Drosophila melanogaster: one gene and its partner. The protein of the gene in region 1 interacts with the protein of each later gene in a pairwise test. Each region holds a gene or a part of one and is shown on either strand. Other genes may lie near its edges.

Region 1 (4,616 bases):
ATTTGTTTCAGGAAACGGAGTTATTACGGTTCATTAATGAGTTTGCCAAATCGCCTGTTTTACCAAACGTGGCCAAAGTGTTCTTGGTATACCGATAGAAATTTACAAGGGTTATAATAAAATAAAAAAAAATCTCAAAAACTTTTTAAAAGTGTGCGCGTGGCAGCTTTTGGGGGTTTGTGGGCATTAGAAGGAACGCCGCCAAAGTGTTCTTAGTATAACGATAGCTATGGGCGGTCTGTGGGCGTAAGAGTGGGCGTGGAAAAAATGGATTTGGCAAATGAATATAAATTTACAAGACTGATGAAAATATACAAAAAAATATGCAACAATTTTTCAAAAATGTGGGCGTAGCAGTTTCGGGTTGCTTGAGGTCGTTACAGTGGGTGTGGCAACATGGGACAACAAACTTGCGCTGCGTCCATGTCACTAGAATATGTATGCTGAATCTCAACCTTCTAGCTTTAATAGTTCCTGAGAACTCGACGTTAATACGGACGGACAAGCCTGATCGACTCTGCCAATGGTCTTGATAAAGTATTTGTATATTTTATATGGTCCGAAACGTTTAGTTCAAGATACACTTCGTTACACACTTTTTAATATAGTAACGGAAATAATTAAATAATTTCCTAAACAAAGTCAAAAATATTCAATGCAACAAAACACCTCGCCCTCCATTCACAGAAAAAATCGTGTGAAACACAATCCAGCAAAAATAAATTAATAAATAAAGAATTAGATTAATTCGCATGCCTTGCTCAAACCATCAGCCATCGCCGTTCACCAGAACCCCTTTACTTCAGCTGTTGTTTTACAGCTTTTGCTTGGCTTTGGTTGGCTGCTTTGGCCTAGTTCTTGGTCGTTGCCATGTTTTCAACTCGGTTTTACTTTCAATTCTATGGTTCGAAATTGGCCACTTTACTTTAGACTTTAGAGTAAAGCTATATGTTGGGCATATAAATCGAATTTATCAAGGGCAATTCAGCTGGGTGGTATTAATTCTAAAAGTGATTGAGTGGTCTTCCTTCGATCCCATGCTTGACATGGATTCAAGTCCAAGCCCATGTTGAAGTAGTAAGCATTCTTTAATTTAAGCACCGTAATCCACTATCGAGCGATCCAGAAACCTGCTGCTAAACGAAAATGTAACGAAAAAGGTAACAACATTTCACAATCGCCTTGGTAAATAGTTTCCCAGCCTTCGTTGGCTAGAGGGTGGATATTGTTGTAGTTTCAGAAAACAATAAACAAAGCCCGCTCCCCGCTTGTAGATAGCTTGAAACTGATGGGGAGCTTTGGATGAAATTCTCAGTAAAATGTTGAAATTCACTAAGAATATGGGTCTGGACTACATTTTTCTGATAACTTGTATAACTTGTAAAACGTAGCAAAGCTGCAATGGCGCAAGCGTTAACTTTACTCTTACTTTCAAAAGCTTAAGAGATACAAACGACTCCGCGCGGGTGCAGCAACAACTTGAACAGTCTGTTAATGTAAAGTAACAGTCGGGGCCAAGCGTGGCGCAGACCAAGCTTGGCCCAAAAGCCAGACTTCGAAACTTGGTTGGCTGGCTGCGCTTGCCCAGAGTCTCAAGACACTCGTCCGCACAGTCGCGCTGTATAGTTGTTTCGATTAGGACGTGTGGTTCGCTTAAGCGCACGGTAAGCAGAGACGCTCGAGGGTCACCCGAACTTGTCAGGCGGTCTAAACTGTTTGCAATAAGCCACAATCAATTTTTGGGCTTTCGATTGCTAATTTATTTCGTAAACGCGTCGAAATAAAGTCCACCTCTGACTGGACATTGCAACCAGCCAAAAATTTAACATTTTGTAGAAAGCAGTTTTAACTGCATTTTGCAGTTTAGTCGAAGAGCTCAAGCGTGTGTGTCGGTGGTAAGCTAACTTTGCGTTAAAAAGAAAGTTTACGCTAAATATATATACAAGCTTCGACAAACAAAATAAAAACGTGCAGGTTTTGTTTTATTTTGTTTCGCATTTTCCTCTACGCGCTACAGACTAGTTCATACAGAGTTTTCCAATATGGAGGTGCCCGCGATACCGTACGGGAAATCTAAATCAAACACCGATCTTCGATTTGATCTCTTTGCATTTTTGTCTAGCAATCTTTTCCATGGTAACTACAAAACGAACAGCGGTCATTGCAGTCTCACGTGAAAGAAACTAAAAAACCTAACTAAAAATCGCTTGCCAAAAGCAATGGAGGAAAACTAAGTGTTGTAATCTGTAAACGTGTGTGTTAGCTATGCATCGTCGCGTTGGTTAAAGCCAAACGAAAGCTCGAATAATAGGGGCAGAAACTAAATCTGCTTACAACAATACAAACATGTCCTAACCAAGTGAAGGCACAGCCACAAAGCCGCAGTCGCGGCATAAGCCAGACACACCATTAAGAAAACTGTAACACAAGGCTCAAAAAATCTAAATTGAAAAATTGCGACACTGCCTTCTTAGTTATTTAGCAATTGTTTTCAACAAAACAGAGGTTTTCTCAACGGTAACTGCCTCCGTCATCGGTACGGTGGCTGCTGCTGCTCCCCACTTCCCGCGCTTCCAACCACTATTTTTATCCGAGCTTGCCTATGGTATTTTAAATTCTGTGAACTAACCCCAAAACGAAACTGAACCAACCACATCAAGAAAATTTACAGTTACAGTTACGACGACACGCCATACCTGCAATATGAAGTATTCAACAAGTCGAATAAACATTCTGTGCCTGCTGGGATTGTGCCTACTGCTTTTTAAAACAGGTGAGTAATGCCCACTTCAGTGAAGAACACTCTGCTAGAAATACAAATGGAGGCAAAAACTTAAAAGAGCAAAGGGCTTACACACTTTACCCACTAGTCCTAGAAGAGTTAGCACTTAACCAGATTTTAAGACAACCATGGATAAGTATTCAGTTCATGTATGAACTGAAATCTTTTTTTAAACGTAGATCCGAAAAAGTTTTATTTTTAAGTGAATTGTTTTTACAGTACTATGGATTCTTCTTTTCCTCAATCATATTCGAAACTTCGTGATAGAAATATTATGTTCCGCAAATAAAGCCAAACTTGTTTTGAACACTGTTCCGGCTGCCATGTACGAGCTCGCAATAGTCTAATGTCAAATTCAATCACCGTAGAAGAAGTCAAACCACCAGCTGTTAACCACTTGTGTTGAGCTCTATTGTGGATACTCCGGCTCCGGCTAAACGAGTTTCTTAATATGTCCAAAAATGTATATTTATTTTAATATATATATATATATATATATATTAAGACATTTTACTGCGAAATGTGTTAGGATATATAAAAAGTAAGAGTATTTACATTAGGGTATGTATGGAGGTAAATACATGGTCTGATCAACTGCTCTATTTACCAGCGAACAATAACATAATCAAGCATTTCGACCATAACAAGCCTTACCGTGTCCAACTATTGGTCACTTGGGCTGTCTACTCACCATACTGCTGGGTAATGGTAATGGAATTATGTAAGTTATCAGCCAGCAGCCAACCAAGCAGCTTATGACACAGATATTAATTGCATACAGCTCGCTGACTCGATTGAATAGGTTCACTAAGTGAGTGAGTGTATCGGTGTAACCGAGCAAATTGTGGCTATAATAACTGTTGATAATTTTTAAAACAGTTTGCTTAATTGTTCAGACATTTTTTATGAATGATATATATGCAAAATTTGAGAAAACAAATTGGGAACTACGAAAATTGCTTAGATAACGTGGTAAGGATTAACACTATTAAAATTATAATAACAGCATTAGACGGCTAAATTGTTTTGAGATAGATTTTTTGTATTACCTTTGTGGCCTTATAAAGTGCATATATGTATCTTATTCATAACATATTAGTAAAAACAGCGAACTTGAAATAGCCAAGCCCGGCTGTCCGATCGTCCTCTTTTAAACAATTTATAATCTATCTGCTATACCGATTCGGTCGTTGATACTTAGCAAGAAATATATATACCATATATGGGCACAATTGTGTCCTTCACAGCTTTGAAATTTCTGACTTAAGTGAATGTACCCTCCGCAAGGGTATGAAGACTTGCATGACTTGGTTTAGGCATAGTGGCAACACTTTCCATTTTGATGAACTTTCTCAGTGTTTTGAGTGGTGTTTTTTTAAGCCACAGAAATATATATTTGGGTAAAACCTTAGATATGCCGCCATGGAAATATTTTCATGCGTAATTGCTAGGAAATTTGTGTTAAAACATTTGATGTACTACTGGTTTAATGCGAATGTCGATGGCTGAAAGAAAAAGGTTTGAGGCGGACGAGGCCAATGGCGAAAGTTGAACATTTGCAAGAACATTTGTTTAAGCGCGTGTTTAATGAATAGTATAACAAAGGGGTTTTAATCATAATTCAGTTTCAATGCCAGTTAAACCATTAGTATGGTGGTCACGCCTCGACCTAATCATTTCGTCTCTTTTTTACCGCAGGCAGTGTCAATGCTTACCGTGCGAAAGTTTTGGCGCACGCGGAAGATCGTCATTAAATTACTTCGCTAGGTCTTTGACTGTAACCTGAACACTTTATACGAGCATGTACGACCATTGGCATGGCGCAACTTTGTTT
Region 2 (4,579 bases), about 14 Mb from region 1:
ACCAATTGCGTGGTCTTGGTTGTGTTTTTACGACCATTTTTGCTTTTTACGATGATGCGGACCCAATAGAGCAATTTAACCAGAGATTATGACTCCTATATTTGATTTCTTAAATTGCCCTAACGTGGGAGCTATGATTTAGATATTAAACTGCATATGTACATATTAAGCATTAAGAGAAATTTAATCGGCAAACTTGAATTACAAATTTGTTTTTTTTTTATTAACATTTTTTAATGTTAAAGATGTTACGATATTACTTTCGAACATTCCATTCTTATTGCATTTATAGCATCTAAGTGAGAAACTAAAATTGATTTCAGTGTGCAAAATGAGGGATAAGTTCGTCTCAGACATTTCCCGTCATCATGTGCAACCCGAGATTTTCATTTTCGCCAGCTGTTTTCTGTTTACAGTGGGGAAAACTCTCTCTGCGAAGTGAGGGAAATACACCAAATCGTGTTCTCTCCACGGAAATGGTTCTCTCGTTTGGTGCTCTAAATCATATTTCCTCGGCTTGCAGTTTTTAACACATTCCCCAACCCCTCCTCACACACACTCTCACACTGGCACACCAACGAGCGCCACACACACGCCCACCTGCTCGTAAACAATTATGGCCGACGCCGTTCCGCTCTCCACACGCACACAGGCGCCATGGCTGCACACACATGTGTGGAAATAAATTCCCCACAAAACACTGTGAAACAACAACAACAGCAACAAAATTACCCAAAATGGCTACACAGAAGCGGCGATCGTCCAATGAGCGTGTTGGTGTCGGTGTGCCCAGCGTTGTGTGTGTTGTGTTGGCTCTATTTTTAATTTCCAATATTTTATTTACACATTTCTAGAATTTTTTAGCTTTGTACTCAATGATAGCGCGCAAAGAAAAACTTTCCAACTGGGCGTATACGCAATATTTAAAACTTATTGCTTGATCTAAGTGTGAACTTACTTGTGCTCAGAATTACAAATTTCCAAAAATCTTTCCCTACTATGTGTATAATAAATGTTTAAGATTTTATTTAATAATATTAAAAAATCCTTATAATTCTTGGTACATAAGTATAATATAAAAAAATGTTTCTTAAACAACCGGGTACCGTGATTACCCTTCATTTTATTTATCAAATTTAAAGCGGAAATATACATTTTCAAAAATATCCAGAAATTTCCGTTACTTCCCATCGTCAACACTGCTTCTCCGTCACATAGTATCCGTCTACTACTAACCGCCAATTCTACTACGCTTTTTGGCTCTCAGCTCCCACGCGAAATTCGCTGCCTCAGCAAAAAGCATGCGCGCTCAGCAAAGAGCGCAGAACTAAAAACGTTTGCTCTCGTGCCCCAACTACTTCGCTCTTTCGCTCTCGCGCCCTAAGAAAAAGGGGAGCGCATGGCCTCGGACAACAACAAAAGCACACTTGTTGAAAACGAAAACGGCCACAAACAACAAAGAGCGAACTGGTTTTCAAGCGAGCGCGAAACTACTGAGAGAGCCGATTGGAGAGTGGGGGTGATACGAAAAGAGCGAAAAGGAGCGTGCACGTCATGTTGTTTATAGATTTTTAGTCGAATTTCGTTATTTCACGTTTAAAGTTCGTACGTGCGCTGAACGGACGGACTGCTACGACCGGAGTGTTGTGTTGTGAGTGCGAAAGCGTAAAATCGGCCAGGCGGATACATATGCACTTCCCCCAAACGCAAAAAAAAAAAAATTTTCAAAATATATACGAGAAAGTCAACACAATCGCCTATTTTTTAAGTCGTTTTCGAGTGATCCTTGTGCTTTATCAAAATTAGACTGAGTTTAAAACAAAGTATACATGTGAAACAAAATTAGCTCAGTAAATAGCAAACTTTTGGATAACCCCACGTTCCCGGAACCATCTAATAACGTACGTGCCTCATCATAAAACGCGCCCTCAACGAGGCATTCGAGCGAAACCACTAACCAAAAACGGCCAAGCCAAAGAAATAAATAAAGTACATACATACCTATGTATATCTAACAAAAGGAAAACCCATAAATGAATACATTGTAAAAGCCCATGCGTGAATCAAACGTAAATATTGTAGATGCAAGCCAGCAAAGAAAGTAGTGTGTAAATTCTTTTTTACACACATATGTATCGTGTACACATATAAATAATAAATACCGCTGAGGCAATTATAATACTTAATGAATTTATTGCACAATTAAAGCGAAGCCAGCATATCACAACAACAAATTAATATGCCGCTGGCGTGAAAGTCACAACTCGACGCATGAGAAATCCCCCCTGCGCCACAGCACTGAATTATTAATGAAATCGAATTACAAACAAAGCCCAGCAAGCATCAGCAATAACGATTGCGAATCGAAATCGGAATAAATAATAAAAAGAGGAAAAATAAAAAATAAACACAATAATAAATTATCATAAATAAGTACTCACATCAACGAGAACCGCGAAACGTGGACGGCTTAATCAGCGAAAAGTCAGGCAGCTGGAAAATATTTCAAGCAAGGCGCAGGCGCCGCTTTTCACACGAGTTGGCAGCACACGCCACATAAATTGGCACTTACCGTTAAGCGCACTGCCGTACTTTGCGGTCGGGACAAAAGCAACAACCACTCAACACCTCCACCGAACCACCAAAGAAAAGCCGTCAAAGTGGATTTAACAAATTATAATAAAATGCTGCAATCCAGCAATCATCATTATTTAAGACCGGATTATATGACAGCTGCAGCTGCCCCAACAGCGGTAAGCCCATCTCTTTGTCTCATTTTTGGGGTTTTTGGGGATAATTCTCACAAGGTATTTTATTCGGCAATCAGAAATTTATTGCGTTTATATGGACTTAGCGCTTATCGCCTAATACAGCTCAGTGATTATTGCGATTTCTTTTTCAGTGAGTTGGTTTAGCTATCTAATATGGGATAAAATATTAATTGAAAGGGATAGGTATCTGATGAACAGTTTCGGTTAAAAGTCATTAAAACTATTATTTCAAATATTGATTGGTCTTAAAATTTAATAATATTCTTAAATGTTGATAAGAAGACGTAAATTTCGTATTATTTGTTTTCGCATTCTTCACACTCTCTTCAGAGATTATTATTTCACTTTGGTGTTCCGATCGTTAAGTAGAACAAATCTTGTTAAGGGTTAAGTTCTATATATATCAAAATATGAATAAGAAAAATGCCAGAATAGTCATGGTTTAAACAGGATAAGAAGAGTAGTACAAATTCTAGCAATAACACCCAATTCGCTACGTTCGATTATAAAACTTGCAGCTATGAATAACAAACTATCGACATTTCAGACATCTGAAATAGATTGTCGAGCCATATTTCATATATAATAAAAATGTCGACTGTAAGCACTCGCCACTGGCGAAATATGTATGAAACTACGGCACCAATCCGAAACGAACAACCTCCTCCAAACTTCCAGAAGACTTTGGGCCATGTGCTGGCAAAACGGAACTGTTTTGCGGGGTCTGGGAAGAGGCAAATAGCGAATTCACAATCGTAAAACGATAAATTCTCCAATATCTGCACATAAAACTTATTTATGTTTGTTCATATTAAACTATGTAAATCTGCAGCCCAGTTGCCTCCGTCTGAAAGTGTTTAGAGAGTCGAGTGCACCTCTGGAAATTGTATCTAAATTTATGGCGCGCCAAATTTGAATTTATAATGACAGAAAACAAATGCAATTTCGCACACTTACACACACCGGCACACACACACACACACACGACCGTAGTTCGAGGAACTATGGCAGTTAATCAGAGTCAAAGTTGTTGTGGTCCCCATTTCCCCCACTCACTTTATCCAAAACTATCTCTCTTCGAAATGGCGTGAGACTCATAAATTTTCATTTTAATTTGTTGAGCGCATTTTGTTCGTAAAGAACGGAAGCAGTTTATGGCACCAGCACGATGAGTACATTCATTAACTGGGTAATTTGAAATAGCGTTTTCGGAGCTACGTGATTTACTGATTTCGGAGAGTAGAGCCCAGCCATTTCCATATTGGTCGTGTGAAAGCTTTTCAGTGGCGCAAATGAGGCAAAACCCATAAATCAACGGATCGTATATGCATACGAGGCCCAATGATGAACTGGTTCCGGTGCCAAGTGACTGACAGATTCTGTGAATCTGGGTTTCATTAAAATTTAAGTGTTGCGTCTTTAAGCAACGAGATGTAATCTCAAATTCTGTCGATCAGTAAATTATGACGTTCTATTAGTATACTCGCACTAATTATTTATGACGTTCTATTAGTACTGTAATGAACAAATATTCTTGCTAATACGTTTTTCTTTAGAGACTTAAGAGCTTACGCGCGGCACTTTGAGTTAATTTATGTTTACGTGTCTGCCGGTGACTGACTAACCTTCTTCTTTTGTGCTTTATCTGCGATACTATCTGCGAACTTATAAATTATTCAATGATTAATGGCAGCTGCTTATAATTAATTATAATAAAATCAAATAAACTAAGCCTGACAGCTGTCAGTGTCATCATTTGTATATCTTTTATGTGGCGCCCCATAAAAGCAGCGACATACACAGAAACA

The links.
Region 2: the proteins of Cda5 (region 1) and elB interact in a two-hybrid assay, tested with the Drosophila melanogaster proteins (one large-scale study listed by BioGRID).

Annotation. Positions count from the first base shown.
Region 1 is NT_033779.5:56,238-60,853, reverse strand, and holds the start of Cda5 (chitin deacetylase-like 5), read left to right. Parts: upstream 1-1,585; 5' UTR 1,586-1,664; exon of another isoform or gene 1,665-1,895; intron 1,896-2,122; exon of another isoform or gene 2,123-2,605; intron 2,606-2,660; exon of another isoform or gene 2,661-2,671; 5' UTR 2,672-2,703; coding exon 2,704-2,773; intron 2,774-4,616.
Region 2 is NT_033779.5:14,406,542-14,411,120, reverse strand, and holds the start of elB (elbow B), read left to right. Parts: upstream 1-1,571; 5' UTR 1,572-2,684; coding exon 2,685-2,753; intron 2,754-4,579. UniProt on the Drosophila melanogaster protein: May negatively regulate Notch-induced cell proliferation in the eye-head primordium. May act in leg and wing primordia to negatively regulate body-wall specifying genes and thereby promote appendage formation. Required for tracheal development.